2 linked regions of the Rattus norvegicus genome follow. The protein of the gene in region 1 interacts with the protein of each later gene in a pairwise test. Links are inferred from orthologs where the notes say so. Each region holds a gene or a part of one and is shown on either strand. Other genes may lie near its edges.

Region 1 (3,818 bases):
TCCAAAGTAGCTGCTTATAAACCATGGAGGGTCCACTGTCGCTGTGCTTCACATTCACAGTGCTGAAATGTCTTCCAACTGCTTCCAAGTAAGTCACAATGGAAGGAACTACTTGAGCAGTATCAAAATCCTTAAACTCGCTTATTTAATTGGGAAAAGCCACTGATTTCTACATCCAGGCTCATGTGCAGTGTTTCATTTTGAATGTAGTTTCAGTTTCTGTGTATTATTTATTACATTTGAAGAAATTCAGTAGGTGGGGAATCTATAAGGAAAAAGACAAATACTGGCTTTGAGAAGGGACTTTTTGCAATTTAAAAGTATTGCCCACTTTATCAGTAAGAACCTGTTTCCCTAAGAATGAGGCTCGATTTCCACACGTGTGCTGGGAGAGCCAGCGGTGGGTGCTGAGGATGAGGATTCACAGAGAAGCTTCTCTTCTGCCTTCTGTCTCAGGCTCCTCCAGTGGGAGAAAGTCTGGGTGTGGTCCAGGAGGGAGCAGCAGCAGGGCTTAGTGATTTCTTCTTAACCATTTCCTTCCCAGCATAGCCCCAAGGTTCTCTTCTTTCTCTTCCCTTCCTTCCCTTCTAATCATCTCTTGTCTGTCTAGTTTCTGTTCTAGAACTTGTTTCCTCTGCCCTCCATTGCTGCCGCAGAGCATTAACGCTAACAGCACAACCGAGGCTCCTGGCTGCCTGGCTGCTGTGTGACAGTAATGCATGCCCTGCATGTCACTCTTTGCCTTCTTTTCCCAAAGGAGCAGTGGGAGCAGCACAGATGGGCGGGATCCTGAAGAGAGGGTGCCTCTGTGTACTTAGCATGCCCAAGCCGGCAGAGCCCCATTGACGCTGCAGCCCACTGGTAACTGCAGCAGTGCGGTTGTCAACACCTCAGGATGCCCACAGATAGCCTTTAGCAGGCCTCCAGGAGGTGGGGCAGTGTTTGAGGCCAGTGCACACAGTTGCCCTGAGTTCAAAGGGTAGAAGCTTCCTCATGTCATGTGTCTCTTTGTTTCTGCTCTTCTAGAATCCCACCATCCCTATTCAGAAGCTACAGGACATCCAGAGAGCAATGGAGCTGCTCTCTGCATGCCAAGGCCCAGCCAGGAACATTGATGAGGCCACAAAACGCAGATACCAGTTCTGGGACACACAGCCAGTGCCCAAATTGAGTAAGCTCATGTGTGTGTTTCTACAAGTCAGGGTGAAGAAGCTTCAGTCTTGTGTCAGACACGCAAAATTCACACAAAAGCTAGTATCTGTCTTCTTAAAATACGTATATATAGTAGGTAGGGACATTGATTTTCAATACCATTGATTGTAGCCTAATTGCTGTTTCTGATACATTATCCAGTTTTCCCATACTTGAGATGTGTATTATATGTTTATATTTATTTATATATACATATTTATATATATTACAATTTCCTATTAAACATTCCTGTGTATGTGTGTAGTATAATATGTAACACATTATATAGTAAAGAATATGCTATACATGATATACAGCATATATATACTAAACAGAAGAGAAATGAGTTTTTTTTCTCTTCATTCTTATTCTTTGCTTCTGAGCTTCATGAAGTTGGGGTTTTGGGTTTTTTTCCCCTATATGTTGTATTTTTAAGATTTTTGTATTTTCATTAAATGCAAATGACTTTTTGCTTGCATGAATATATTGTATGCTTGATGTCCACAGAAGCCTGAAGAAGTCAGAGGATTCCCTGAAACTATAGTTAAAATTTTTGAGGGGGCTGGAGAGATGGCTTGAGCTGTTAAGCACTGACTCTCTTCCAGAGGTCCTGAGTTTAATTCCCAGCAACCACATGGTGGCTCACAGTCATCTGTGATGGGATCTGATGCCCTCTTGTGGCATGCAGACATACATGCAGATACATTTTTTTTAAAGTTTTAAAGTACCATGTTGATGCTAAGAACCAAACTTGTTCCTCTGCTAGAGCAGTAAGTGTTTTTAACCACTGAGCCTTTGCTCGTGCACGCGCGCGCACGCACGCACACACACACACACACACACACACACCACCTCCCACTACATTATTTTTTAGCATTTTCCATGCCTCAGGTATTCTAAACAATTCAGAAAAGAACTTTCCTATAATAGTCCACTAAGTGGATAATTGCATACTCATCAGGATTCTGAACACACTCTAGTGACGTATCAATTATGTCACATTATATGGGAGTTACCCCAATTATATGGGAGTCAGAGTCCCCTTTGAAAGTGAAGGCTCTTTTGGACTCTGCTCATGTAAAGATCTGTGAAAGGGTCTTTTTCCTAGGACCTACTCCAACACATTCCACTTAAGACTTCTCCCAGTTAACTTCCTACAGACATAACTGTTTCATTCCCACTGTGCATAGGTGATGCAGCTGTCGTGAAAGTGTTCCAGTTGCATGACGGTACACGCCCTGCTTCGACTCAGTTCTGTGCCTATTCACGATTGGGTTATTTAGATTCCAAACAGCATAGAGGGTCACTTGCCACCTAAAACTCTGAAGCGCCTAGTAGCATGCGGATAATCATTTTGTCATTGTAAGTCAGGGAGTCATGTTTTTCTGAGCGTTGACGGATCAGTTATATGCGTCCCAATCCTTTCCCACGCATAGCTGCCCCCCAGCTTGAAAAGAGTAAGACGATGTAGGAGAGGGAGGAGGAAGAGTGGAGGGCTGGGAGCATATGCTTCAGTGTAAAGAGTAAGACGATGTAGGAGAGGGAGGAGGAAGAGTGGAGGGCTGGGAGCATAGGGTTCAGTGTAAAGAGTAAGACGATGTAGGAGAGGGAGGAGGAAGAGTGGAGGGCTGGGAGCATAGGGTTCAGTGTAAAGCAGTGGCTCAGAGCGGGTGAAGCCCCAGAGTCATCCCTTGCACCAGAGGGGACAGTACGCTTTTTTTCTTTCAACTTCTAGAAATGTGTCTGCTAATGAAGGAATATTTTTTAGAATAAGTTACAGAGTCTTTAATTAGATGCTGAATTATGAGTATTAGCTGAAGGATCTAGATTTAATGGTTTTGGTGAACTACGTTTACCTGGATGCGGTTCATCAAGATGCCTTCTGCCCTCCAGAGGAGAAGGTGCCTAACCCTCAGGCCTTCTTTCAGGAAGGATTGCCTGGGACTCATCCTGCTTTTCCCCTTGCCCCAATTCTTCAAGGTTCTTGGAATGCTGGAGCTCTTGGTGCACTTCAGTTCAACCAGAGGCAATATCTAGTAATAGAACCTTGTTGTTAGGGCAAGGGAGGCCTGCAGACAAGCACATGTAGAGTCATCACTAGTTCTATCTGTCTGAGGGTTGCACAGTAAGAGCCAAGCCTTAGACTTCATGGGGACCCTGCCGGGGGTTGGGCCACATGAACTTTCCTGAGGATACCTGAGGAACTGATACGAGTCGTGCACTTCTCATAGGATTCTGTGACCCTGAGGACTAGGCCTGAGGGTGCTTACTCAGCAGATGGTGAATGGCAGACACAGCATGGGGCACAGGTCAAGAAATGTTGATGGGAGATGGACAAAGGCAGAAGGGTAGATCAGGTGGCCATGCAGAGCAGCTTAGATATCTTTTCCAGGAAAAGCTTTAGTTGTTGAAAGATGCTGAGAGGAAATGACTTGTGAGCTTGAGAAATTTCCAGGGACTGATACCTTGATGACCAGAGGACAAGGCTCAGGAAAAAAAGGAATGCCCTGAGCCATGGCAAACGCTTAAGGTCAGATGCTAGAATACTGGGAATGAGGAATGTAGAGGGTATGAGGAGATACTAAGGCCGGCTGGAACCACAAAGAAACATCTGTATTTTATCCCAG
Region 2 (4,301 bases), on another chromosome or scaffold:
AAACCACATCCCTCATTATCTTAGTTAGGGTTTCCATTGCTCTGAAGAGACACCACGACCACAACTCTTGTAAAGAAAGCATTTTATTGGGGCTGGCTTACAGTTTCAGAGGTTTAGTCCATTTTCATCATAGTGGAAGCATGGCAGCAAGCTGGCAGTCATTGTCCTGGAGAGGCAGCTGAGGGGTCTACTTCTCAGATCTACAGGGATCTGGAAGAGTGAGCCACTGGGCTTGGGTTGGGCTTTTGAAACCCCAAAGCCTATCCCCAATCATATATTTCTTCCAACGAGGACCCACTTCCTAATCCTTCACAAGTAGTACCACTTCCTGCTGATGAAGCATTTGACTATATGAGCCTATTGGGGCCACTCTATTTCAAACCACCGCACTCATCTTAAAGATGAATAACAGCTTATTCTGGAGTCACTTTGAGTGACCACAAATTTAGGTTACCCCAAATCCATCATTTCAATGTGGAAACAGTTTCATGGATTTACAGAACAAAGAAAGTCATAAATTAAAGCAAGCTAAAAATACATTGGTAGGTAACATAGAAGCAGTAACGTTGAGATGGGGAAAACTTTTCTATAAGCCCAAGAAGATAGTTGATGACATTCTTAGCTTTTGGGTCGGTGGAAGCTACCACCACCACCACCACCATAACCACCACCACCACCACCATCACTACTAGCATTACTAGTAGCACTACTAGCAGTAACACGCGTGCGCGTGCGCGCGCGCGCGCACACACACACACACACACACACACACACACACACACACACACACACGTTGATGTGAGACACCTCAACAACTGAGAGCCGTTTCTTCAAGCAACATCCCACGTTGAGGTTCTCAAGACCCTCCCTGCAGGAGAGAACACTAAAAGGTGTTTTTTCTAAAAACTGATAGTAAATGTACGCGGTCGATGGGTGGATATAATGAAGTTTGTGTATGCGTATAGTTTTTCTTTTTGACAGTGTGCTGGCTGTGGAAAGACCTGTCCCTTTGCGACAGAGCTACAGGATTTCTGGGTTTCACTTCAAGAAGTACAGCCGCAGCAGAGATGAGGTGATGCTAAAGGAAGGTGGTTCGAGGGGCCTGGGGAAGCCTTCTCTTAAAACGGGAAATGAGGGGTCAGCAGGTATGGAAAACAAAACACTGATGGGAGTCATTTGACCATTTAGACACACGGTGGGGGCAGTGAAGGAAGGTTCCAGCAGTTGTTGATTCGCTATTCAAAACAGTGAGTGGTTAGGAAAAGGCGGAACCTTTGTCTTCCGCTCTCTGTTTCCCGCGACTCCACTCCTGCAGCTACACTGCCTAATGGACCGCCTCCTTCCCTTTCCCCGGGGGGCCTATCTGGGTGAGTTCCGGAGTTTGTGACTCCAAATTTCCACCAAATCACGAGCGACCTCCCCTAACATTGAGGCCGACCCGCACTGCGCCCGCCTAATCCACGACTGCCTTCTCGGGAGTGCGCGGGCTCGCGGAGCAGGCGAGGTCCCGTATCCACGGGCACGTGCCCGGGCGCGCGTCCCGCGGAGCTCGTTCCCAGCTTCACCTCCCAGCTCTGGTCCCAGTAGCTCGCCGCGCGCCGCCGGCTTCCCCTCACCTCCCAGCCGAGCGGCCTCTAGACCCCGCGCCGTTGGAGCGACCTGGGCGAAGCCAGGCGCTCGGTCCGCCCGAGGGGAAAGGGGAGAAGGACTGGGCGGTCCTGTGCGCCCGGGTAGGCGGAGTGGCAGAATCACCTGAGACCACCAGACAGCTAGCTGCTTCCCACTCCTGCTCGAGCTTCTCACCCGGACTAGTGGTCCAGGCCCGGGAACCCGCGTCACACCGGAGAGGACTGATCACAGCGAGCTAGTGGACATGGCAACACCATTTCTACCCGCGGGGGCCACCACGGGCGACAGCGGTGGGGAACTGAGCTCCGGGGACGACTCCGGTGACTTGGAATCCTTCCAGACCCCTGAGGCCGAGGCGACCCGGAGCCTGGCGGAGCTGTTTGAGAAGGCTGCCGCACATGTTCAAGGCCTGGTTCAGGTGGCCAGCAGGGAGCAGCTCCTGTACCTGTATGCCAGGTACAAGCAGGTAAAGATGGGTGGATAAGAGGACACGGGCTTTTCCTCCAAAAACTTAATAGTAGATGTGCGTGGCTAACGTTCGAGCGTGATGAAGTTTGTATATGTGCTTCGATTTATTTATTTGTTTATTTTTGACCCTGGAGAATAGCATCATTCCGGACGTGGAAAAAAAAATCTCTCTGCTGTCCTGCGAATGATATTTATATAGCCGGGCACCGAATAACAGTGTTTCAGTGGCCTTGCCTCTGAACCTTTACAAAATGAGGATGAGAAAATAAAATTTGTCATTCGCTGTTGCCAACTGGACATGTGGTAGGAACTATGGTAATGCTAATAATAAATTTGGAATTTAAGGGAGTATTACTATATATAAAATGCGAAATACAATATTACTATTGTGATTCTTAGAAACTGTAAATGTAGTTGCCGTGTTTTTAGCTGAATTTGATCCTGCTAGATACAGTCCCTACACTTTTTTTTTTTTTTAAATTAAGGGCTCCATGCAGGCAACATGGAGGGCTGGTGATGAACTCTCGACTCAGCATCCTGAATCGCTTTCATTTCCAAATAAAAGACCCAGGGGAGTAGGCCACTTAGAAAGTTACATGGATATACCGGAATTAAAGTGCAGTTTTTGACTCTAAAACTGAACTTTACCTGAAAGTAAGGAAATGTATGAGTTATAAACGGAAGACTGATTTATCTTGCAAGGTTAGGTACCACAAGGAAAGACTGTTGCTTCCCCTTAGTCAACAGAAACAGCTCAGCAGAACACTGGGTGTTCTGTCTACAGAGAATTCGAGGATGAAAGAACATGATGACACCGCCTTTAAGAAGCTAACAGGATTAGTTAAGGAGTCTAGATGTAAATGTGAAAAAAAAAATCAATGGTTAGGAAATTAGGAAACCCCCAGCTCTTTAGAACTTTGAAAGAAATGAAGTTATGGATAGTAGCCTCTTTTATTTTATTAAATTAAAAAATGCTTCTTGATAGAGTTACATATATTTCTTCTGAACTCTTGTCTTTTTTTTTTAGGTAGTCGTGAGGACCCTCCAGTATTTCTAATTACATTTTGTATTGGGTGTGTGTGTGTGTGTCTGTGTGTCTGTGTGTGCGTGTGTGTGCATGTGTGCACTCGGGTGACAGTGTAGGTCAGAGGACAACTTGCAGGAGTTGGCTCTTTCCTTTCAGTGAGTTGACCCCAGGGTTTCAACTTGGGTTGTCAGGCTTGCTAGCAAGCACGGTTTACACGCTGAGCATCTTGCTGTATTCTTAAACCTGAGATACTGGGTAGAGATGAGCCTTCTTTAGAGGACTGATGGTTATTATGAACACATGCTAATAGTGATGTGGCCTGAGAGGCCCCTGTACAAGGGGTAGCCAGCATCTTGTGTGATGCCAGGTGTGCTGGTGCATGCTCTTGTTCCCAGCACCTTGGGGAGGGAAAGGTGGGTTCTCTCCAAGACAGCAGGTTGCAGGTTAGTTGGAACAACACGGTAAGCCTGTCTCAAAACAAGCAAAAAGTCGTGTAATGGAAAGAATACACAAGCACTTCTGCTACATACCTGGTTATATTGGTTATTTTGAGGAAATTGAGGACAATCAGATATAATTGAATTACAAAGTCAACTATGTTCTTTTTCCTTGGGACTTCGTTTTTACTTAACCAAAACTTTATGGACTCCTTTTAGATGTGGGTGTTTGGCAGATAGTTTCTTGAAGATGAAGTGAACCTGGAAGACAGCTGTAAACGTTTGTTGCCAGTGACTATATTTGAGCTGTCCAAGGAAAAGTAGAGGTTTGGGGAACATGGAGTCTACCATCATGAGCTTGACAGCTCCCCAACGCTCACAGAGTACTTTCATGAGATACGTGTTGGTGATAATGAATGGGAAGTTTCAGTAATGTCTAATGCAGTATGTCAACATTTGGAAATGTCGACTGACGCTGAGCTGTTATCTCTGTATTTCATAAGATAATGTTAAAAGTCAGTGTGAGCAGAAGTCCCATTCAACATGAAAATCAGACAGGTGGTTTTCACTACAACTGTGTAAAAGACCCACAGTGCATTCAGATTCTGCATCATAACTGGTCTTGGGGAAACTAATATTTATTGAGTTTGGGTGTAATATCAGAGAATATCCACAGTTCCTGGGAGTGCTATAAAAATAATTTCTAACACTATATGTGCGATTGAAATTGCTTTATGGCC

Evidence for each region.
Region 2: the proteins of Nmt2 (region 1) and Acbd6 interact in binary tests that used the Homo sapiens proteins (3 or more experiments, as listed by UniProt). The link is inferred for Rattus norvegicus from reciprocal best matches to the Homo sapiens genes NMT2 and ACBD6.

The regions. Positions count from the first base shown.
Region 1 is NC_086035.1:79,842,526-79,846,343, reverse strand, and holds part of Nmt2 (glycylpeptide N-tetradecanoyltransferase 2), read left to right. Parts: intron 1-1,026; coding exon 1,027-1,171; intron 1,172-3,818.
Region 2 is NC_086031.1:70,275,703-70,280,003, forward strand, and holds the start of Acbd6 (acyl-CoA-binding domain-containing protein 6), read left to right. Parts: upstream 1-1,374; 5' UTR 1,375-1,873; coding exon 1,874-2,095; intron 2,096-4,301. UniProt on the Homo sapiens protein: Binds long-chain acyl-coenzyme A molecules with a strong preference for unsaturated C18:1-CoA, lower affinity for unsaturated C20:4-CoA, and very weak affinity for saturated C16:0-CoA. Does not bind fatty acids. Plays a role in protein N-myristoylation.